2 linked regions of the Bombyx mori genome follow. The protein of the gene in region 1 interacts with the protein of each later gene in a pairwise test. Links are inferred from orthologs where the notes say so. Each region holds a gene or a part of one and is shown on either strand. Other genes may lie near its edges. The genes, in order: hybrid signal transduction histidine kinase I and serine/threonine-protein kinase polo.

Region 1 (3,835 bases):
AGCGGTTAATCCAATACCTCTAATATAAGAATTATTTAAAGGTATAATCGGTAATTTAAGTAATTTACAACAATTGACAGTTATTAAATTATTTTGGGAACCATTATCTATTAAAGATCTAACTATTTTACGTTCCCCTTTATTCGAGTGAGCGTATATTTGAGCGGTTGATAATAAAATATTACTATTCGATTTTATTTCCGAACTGTGAGTCAACGTGGTAGCGGTCGTATTATTTTGTTGTTGTATCGTTCTGTTAGAGTGTAAACAAGTATTCGAAGCGGCATCATGATGATCGTAACTCTGAACAACAGGTTGAGATTGAACCTGGGACCGACCGTAATCGGGCCGCGCGGCATCACTCGGAATTCCATGTACCTGCGACCGACTGACCTGCCTGTCCATATCAGCGTAGTCATTCGATGGACTGGGTACGCTTTTACCTTTTCGATTCGCCCGTTTATTACCAAAACACAACAAAGTATGATGATATTTCTTACAATTATTGCATGTTAACTTTGATTGACATGCTTTTAATGTATGCGATAAGCTTAAACAATTGATGCAACCCTTGTGCGATTTAATAAAATCATAACGTGCTTGCGGTGAAATCATATTTTTAAATTCATTACAACGATATAACTGCGTGTGGTGCGAGCTCGAGCAAAGATCGCACGTAGATAACGAAACCGGTTTGTTAACCCTTTCAGTGCGGACTGGGTCATTATAACTACTAGAAATAAACGATTTGTGATTTTTAGATTTCTCTATGTTACACTTCGGTGCAGAGCGTTCTAATATTTTTATCTGATCCTGTATGAATTTAATAAACATTTCAGTTGTGGGTATTTCAATACCACGAACCGATGCTTCAAACGAATGTAAAGTTTGAGGATCCAACCTTCTCAGTGAGCATTGTAATAAAATAAAATCAGTCAAATCAAGTAAATTTAATTGTTTTAAAGCGGCAATCGAAGATGAAATTTTTTCAATATACATATTTAAACTATTTGCGGTAGGTGAACAATTTTTTAAATCTAATATATTATTCAGATAATGACATCCTAAAGCTCGTTTATCCTGATATTTACTAATTAGATTCGACCAAATAATATTATAAGTTTCACCTGTGGGTATTATACCAGCGGTTAACTTTAATGCACTATGTGTTAATTTGCCCATTAAATACTGCACACGTTGCGCATCAGACAGTTGCGGGTTATCGTGGATGTTAGCTTTAAAAGCCTGGTAAAATGTTTCCCATCCTTCAAGAGAGCGTCCGTCAAAGGAAGGAAGTGAAATTGTTGGCAATGTTACATTTATGGCGGCGGTAGTTCTCATTACATTTGACGAATTACCAATTGTAATTTTGTTACGAGCGCGTCTTACGTAATTATATAACGTGTCAAAAGACGATAAAGCTGCATATTCAGGCTCAACTTCGGGGTTTTGCTTTAAATTTAAATCATTGATATCATCCAAATTGCTTTCAAATCTAACACGCATGTCATCAATCGATTCTGATTCGGCAAGAAAAGTTTCAATTAATTCCGAATCAAACTCCGAAATATTTTTTGATTTATTATATAAATCATTAATTTGTGCAAATACTAAATTATTCTTCGCGATAAGTTTCTTTAGTTGTCTATTTTCCATAATGAAGTTATGAAATAACTGACTAAAAAATAACACTAAATGAACTACGTTAATAAATATAATTCAATATGCGGTTACGAGTTATTATTACTAATAGCGATGAATGTAATTAATTTTTACATACAATACAATACTGTAACAAAATGGCGAATGGGGGTAATCATAAATTAATCCTAATTTTAATTAAAATTTAAGCTGGATCTAATCCAGGCTCGCAGGACCAAACTATGGGGTAGCAAGGGGGCGTGTAAATAGCCCTCCTGCGGCGGGAGCATATAAAGCGGGGTTGTAGAAAGGCGTGTAAATAGCCGTCCTAAGCGGTATGTGACAAATGTTTGTCACTTATAATTAGCGGAGCGGTAAAACTATATAGCGGTAAACAAAAGCTAGTAATCAAACTAAAGATATAAATTAAATACACATAAGCGAGCGGGCGGGCGAATGATTACACGGAAACAGCAATAAAATGGCAATAAATTAAAAGAACTTGCACTCACCTGTAGACCTTGCCAGTGACTGTCGTGCGGGCGTCGGCGATGGAAGCACGCGGGCGGCGGGAGGGGGTGACGAAGCTCACGTAGCTTTTCGTAAGCTCAAGCACCACACAATATACAAGTGCCGCCATCTAGGCAGCTAGCGGTAAAGCGTGATCGATCGGGTAGAACCACGCTTTGGATAGTCGCGGTAATTAGTTACTGACAAACTCCAAAGGTGGCGCCATCCCAATAATTCATTAGCATCCCATTACTAAATCCGCGTGACCAATTATTATAACAGAAGAGTGTGGAACAGTGTAACTTTTACTTTATGTGCTGCGATCCCCATTCTACATATTTAACATTTTTTATTATTACTTTCAGGCAATCCAAACGACAAAGTTTTATATGGTCGACCGAACAAACGTCGCAGCGCTTCCTTCCCGGCCCCAAGATCTCTGGACCGGCGGCACTCTCTCCGCATCTTCGGCTCTTCCAGCAAGTACCTTCAGCGCTGCGCCTCTACCAGGAGTCTCCATCACAAACACGTTAATACGACTGACAGCTCTTCTTCCACCGATTATCCGCCTAGTGTTGAGTCCGCGTCGCCTAGTAAGTTAATTAAAAACTACATAATACAAACCTCATTGGTTTTTTCTAGGAGTTTCTTCAATCGTCGGCATGATTGTAGACTATTTCCTAATTAGTTTATTGTATTCATTTAAAAAAAATCCGCTTTTCGAAGTGTTAGGAAAGGACGACTGATTATTTATGAATTAAACGCGATATTAACCTATAAAAGTGCCTATGTATTAAATCACTATTGATTCTTAAGAATGCAGCGACCCTTTGGATCACTTTCGCTAGATAGGTTGGTAATATTGAATAAAAGGTTCATAAAAACACACTGAATTAAATGATCACAAGTCGAGTCGACCAGTCACATTTCTTTCAGTACTTATCTAAAGATATGTTTAGCCTCAACTTGAGTTTGCGCTTTGATCTTCGACTTCTTAGGTAATATTTTAAATAGTATTTTATATGTTCTGAAAAAACTTTATAAGTTAATTTTTTAGTTAAGCAAACGAAGTCACTGGTTACGCATAATTTCTTATAACACATTTATGTATATAGAAATGTTATATTTATTAACTTTATTTTATTTACTGATTCACCAAATATCAAATGCACTTTTTGTGTAGGTACGCCCTTGGCTAAAATAGCAGGTAAGTATGCATGACGTGCTTTGAACTGAACTTAACCAGTTATTAATGCGTTGGCTTAAAACGAAGTTTAAGCGGATTTGAAACAAAATTGGTTACCCGCCTACGGGTGTGGCCTTCGCAAACTACTACTATACAAATTCTATTCTATTTTTATATTTCTATTCATAATTCTAATTTTAAGTTAAGTTATAACAAAATTTCAATATGAGATTTCTTATTCGTAATTTCGATCCAAATAATGGTATGCCGATTTAAGTATGTCACTAGATAATGACCGAGCTTTGCTCGGCTTTTTTTTTTTTATAACGCTATCTTGTCGTGTCTTTAAAGCAGTAAAAATAGTATTCTTATTCGCCAATAGATGTCGGGAAGAGTCATAAAGTGGATTATCGATAAAGCTGATTATTGAAAACACGAATAAAACAACATTTTCTGAAAATAAATCGTAGTTAGATCGATTTATCGCCCCCGAAATCC
Region 2 (4,279 bases), on another chromosome or scaffold:
AACACCCTCAAACTACAATACAGGTGCATCATGGGGTGCTAGAGAAATATGGCACTTTATAATATATATTTGTCAACATAAAATTACTTAACGCTTATTCTTCCTTTTAAAATGACTTCAAAATATCCAACCAAATTCCTTTGATTCTATAAACTATTTGGCAAACATTAGTGCCATATTTTGACTTTTGCACCATCAAACTAGGGTGAAGGGTGATCATGATGTGCAGCTTTATGTATTGTGGATATTTCTAACGTCTGCTTAACTTACAACACAAGTCATACTTAGTCTTAGTAATGTAAAAAATGTTTCTAATTTCGAATCTAAATGTATTTCAATCTCAATCATTAAAATTTAAAACAGCACTAAGTTTAAAATTATTACTAGGAATTATTAATAACGCAATATTATAAAACAAACTATGTACTACTTACTATACTATATAATATGTTGAAACTGAATTAGGAAAATAATACTATTTGTATATAGAGTTCCTAATTCTAAGAGTTAAAGTAACTTTTTGTTATTAACTGAGAAATTTGGTCACTAGAGCCAACACTTCACTCGATTGTCAACCAGAGCCAGGCACCAGACTACAATGTGATCATTCGTGTTGTAGTCTGGTGCAGGCCTAGTGTTATAAAATTGACATCCCTGTTGGTATAGCTCTATGACTACTGTTCTTCTGGCCTTCTAATATAACAATTCCCTTGGTCTTCACGTTTGTCGATCTCGAACAATCAAATATATCTTCAGGATTCCGTCGTCGCTTCGCAAACCGGCGGCGTCCATGATTGTACTGCAGTTGCAATCGAACCCTGCGCGTCGTCCGTCCGTGGACAAACTTCTGCAGCATGAATTCTTCTCATCGGGGATTTTGCCAGCCGGGCTGCCCGTCTCTTGCCTCACCACAGCGCCGCGCACTGACCAGCTCGAGGGCATGCTGGTACACCGCCGCCCTCTTAACGAAGTTCATGCTAACGGTGCATATATTGTAATTTATTTAATCGCAGGCTAGACTTCGAGACTTTCTCCCTCATAAATTGATGAGGGAGAGTTCAATAATAATTAAAGAAATTATAGTTTTAAATGGTAAAATATCATCGCAGTTACGATGAACACTAAAGAATATGTCGGATATGCGCGGATCTTTATTAATGACCCGACAGACTTCGTAGTGCCTCAATCGATAAATAAAAAAAAGACCTAAACTTTTGCATAAAATAAACTTAAAACAAACAAAAGGAATCCGTTTGACGGGGTACACATCAAAGAAAAACAAAATTGTTATTTTTATTCAATTCTGAGCATTTTCATATTTAAACCTTCTCTGGACTTCCACAAATAATTCTAGACCAAAATTAGCCAAATCGGTCAAGCCGTTCTCGAGTTTTAGCGAGACTAACGAACAGCAATTCATTTTTATATATATAGATAGATAGATAGAAGATTCATTAAGGAGCACTTATGCACATCAAAATCTTCATAGAATCAAAAAAGCAGCATTTTTCTCCTTTTATAATTAGCTACTTTAAAATTCAACATAAATGAATTGACATTTATAATACGTACTTTCAATTGAATAGAACAAGAGACGATGGCAGTGGACTCGCCCGTCAAACGCGAAGCTACCCCCGCGGGGCCACGAGCTGTGGAACCAACGTCGCACCGCCAGAATTTTATTGCACTGCGAGACCAGCTCGCTGCATTGTTGGTTAACAAGGTAAAATATAGTTTTTTTTTATATTAATACTAGCGACCCGCCTTCGCTTCGCTTCGGAAACATTAAATTTTATTATTAATTAATAGCTGAGTCTCGCGATGTTACCCGCGGTTATTGTCGTACCGCGAGTGAGGCCGCGGGGCGAAGCTAGTCTTAAAAAAGTAGCCTAAGTTACTCCTTATATCATCAGCTACCTATCAGTGAAAGTCTCGTCAAAATGGTCTAGCCGTTCCAGAGATTAGCCGGAACAAACAGACCGACAAAAATTGTTAAAAATGTTATTTTGGTATATGTACCGTATATATATTCATATTATGCGCTTAGTAAAAAGCGGTTATTTCAATATTACAAATAGACACTCCAATTTTATTTATATGTATAGATGAGAAAAAATACCTATGGTCTAAATAACATTTAATAGGCTCTAGTTTTGAAATAGGGCAGGACCGTGCTATGAACTGGTATACGCTGATAACCTTATCATAAGTAGAAATAAATTGATAAACTCTTCATCTTATGGAACTTTTGTAACTTAATTATAAACAACTAGTTTGACTGTATGTTGGCATTTTCTATAACTTTTAGCTGAAATGCCGACCGGAGGCTCTGACAGACGAGCTGAGCGATCCCGCAGCACAGCCGCTGGTGTGGGTTGGCAAGTGGGTCGACTACAGCGACAAATACGGATTCGGATACCAGCTCTGCGACGAGAGCGTCGGTGTCATGTTCAACGATACTACCAAGCTTATCATGCTCGCTAATGGACTGTAAGTTTACGTTTAATATAAATATTAGATGATAATATCAGATATACATATTTTTAATTATATTATATTATAGTAGTATACAACAGGCGCTTGCAACAGTTTCGAACTCACTAAAATTCGAAATCACGTTCGAATCACTAAAGCTTAAAATAGTTTTTTTTTTTATATCTTTATAATGAGAATCAAAGTATAATATGTCATAAAACGAATGCATTGCACACTCAAAATTAGAATCAAATCATAGCTCACACAAACTTTAAACATATTTTGAAGAAAAAAAATTCGCAATACACTTTTTTATACAAGTGATAAGAATCCATAGACATCATAATATGTTAATAGCATATTCCTTGCGGCGTGATTCTCAATTGTTTTGTATTATGACTGTAATGTGCAGATTAGCAAGCAACAAAATCTTCATATTGCTATCTGAAAAAATAAAAGGAGATCTGCATAAACTATCCTTTTTCAGGAATGTGCACTACATCAATCGGCAGGGCCAAGAGCAGTACATGACGATGCGCGATTACCCGCAAGAACTCGACAAAAAAATGAAACTCCTTACATACTTTAGACGATACATGACCGAACATCTCATGAAAGCTGGTAAATTTTTCAACATCCATTGTCATCACTAAAGCATATAAATCAAATAGAATATTCAGAAAACAAAATGTGTGAGCAATAGTTTTCTTATGGCATGAGTAACTAATGTATTCATACTTAACAACAATGTTATCGCTTTTAAATAAATTTACCATTATCCAGGTGCTTCAGTACCAGTGCGAGAGAGTGATGGTCTGTCTCGTTTGCCACATTTACACCAGTGGTTTCGAACAACTTTAGCTGTTATTATGTACCTGACTAATGGAACTTTACAGGTTAGTAGAATTATATTTTAATGCTGTTGGCATATAATTTTTATTGATCTGTTATATTTCTTTCTCATCATGATTGTTTTTTTTTTCTAATATTACAGATAAACTTCCAAGATCACACAAAGATAATACTGTGTCCACTTATGCAAGCTGTCACCTACATAGATATAGAGAAGAATTTCAGAACATTCCGCTTTAATACCATTGAAGAGCATGGCTGTGATAAAAAGCTTTACACAAACCTCACATATGCATTGGAAAAACTAAACAGTGTATTGGCAAACAAACTGTGCTAGTTTTCACTGAACCTAAATGAGTAAATGAATTTGTGGGCTTTGTGGAAAGCTCCAATGAAGAACTGTGTAAACCAAGAGACCCTGCTTATGTAAATAGCAAAAAAGTTTGAAATCACTACAAATTTTCATCATTCTGTTCTTATTGATTGAGATAGTCTGTACTTGATAAAAAAAATCTTTACACTTAAATTTCCTAGGGTCTCCTACTTTTCTAAAATAAAAATTATATTACCTTTTGTATTTTTAGGATAGTCACCAGTATATTATAATTTAATAGAAGGGTCACTAAAATCAATTTTGTACCCTAAAATTTCAAACTTAGGTTAAAAATCCACCGATACTGTCTATTTATTTAGTAAATACTTTTTAATGATTTAGCATCAAATTATTTTGCCGATTCAGTATATGAGCAAAACTTTCGACTTTTTTTTTTATTCTTTAAATATGTGTCTTTGGTTGTTAATACATATTATATTCCATTTGATGCAAAACTTACTGACTTTGCCATTTCAGGGAATGATTTGATTTCTATCTACATATTTCTAAACATCTACAATAATTGATGGAAGAATAAATTTAATTTTAGATTTTAATTTGATTGCCATTTTAAAAGCG

Evidence for each region.
Region 2: the proteins of hybrid signal transduction histidine kinase I (region 1) and serine/threonine-protein kinase polo interact in a two-hybrid assay, tested with the Drosophila melanogaster proteins (2 studies listed by BioGRID). The link is inferred for Bombyx mori from reciprocal best matches to the Drosophila melanogaster genes ko and polo.

The regions. Positions count from the first base shown.
Region 1 is NC_085128.1:3,239,548-3,243,382, reverse strand, and holds part of hybrid signal transduction histidine kinase I, read left to right. Parts: intron 1-2,516; coding exon 2,517-2,744; intron 2,745-3,301; coding exon 3,302-3,358; intron 3,359-3,835.
Region 2 is NC_085121.1:12,624,950-12,629,228, forward strand, and holds the end of serine/threonine-protein kinase polo, read left to right. Parts: coding exon of another isoform or gene 1-23; intron 24-756; coding exon 757-983; intron 984-1,586; coding exon 1,587-1,723; intron 1,724-2,308; coding exon 2,309-2,490; intron 2,491-2,962; coding exon 2,963-3,096; intron 3,097-3,258; coding exon 3,259-3,371; intron 3,372-3,469; coding exon 3,470-3,664; downstream 3,665-4,279. UniProt on the Drosophila melanogaster protein: May play a role in regulating both nuclear and cytoplasmic aspects of the mitotic cycle. Regulates localization of the augmin complex during mitosis by ensuring its location on mitotic spindles.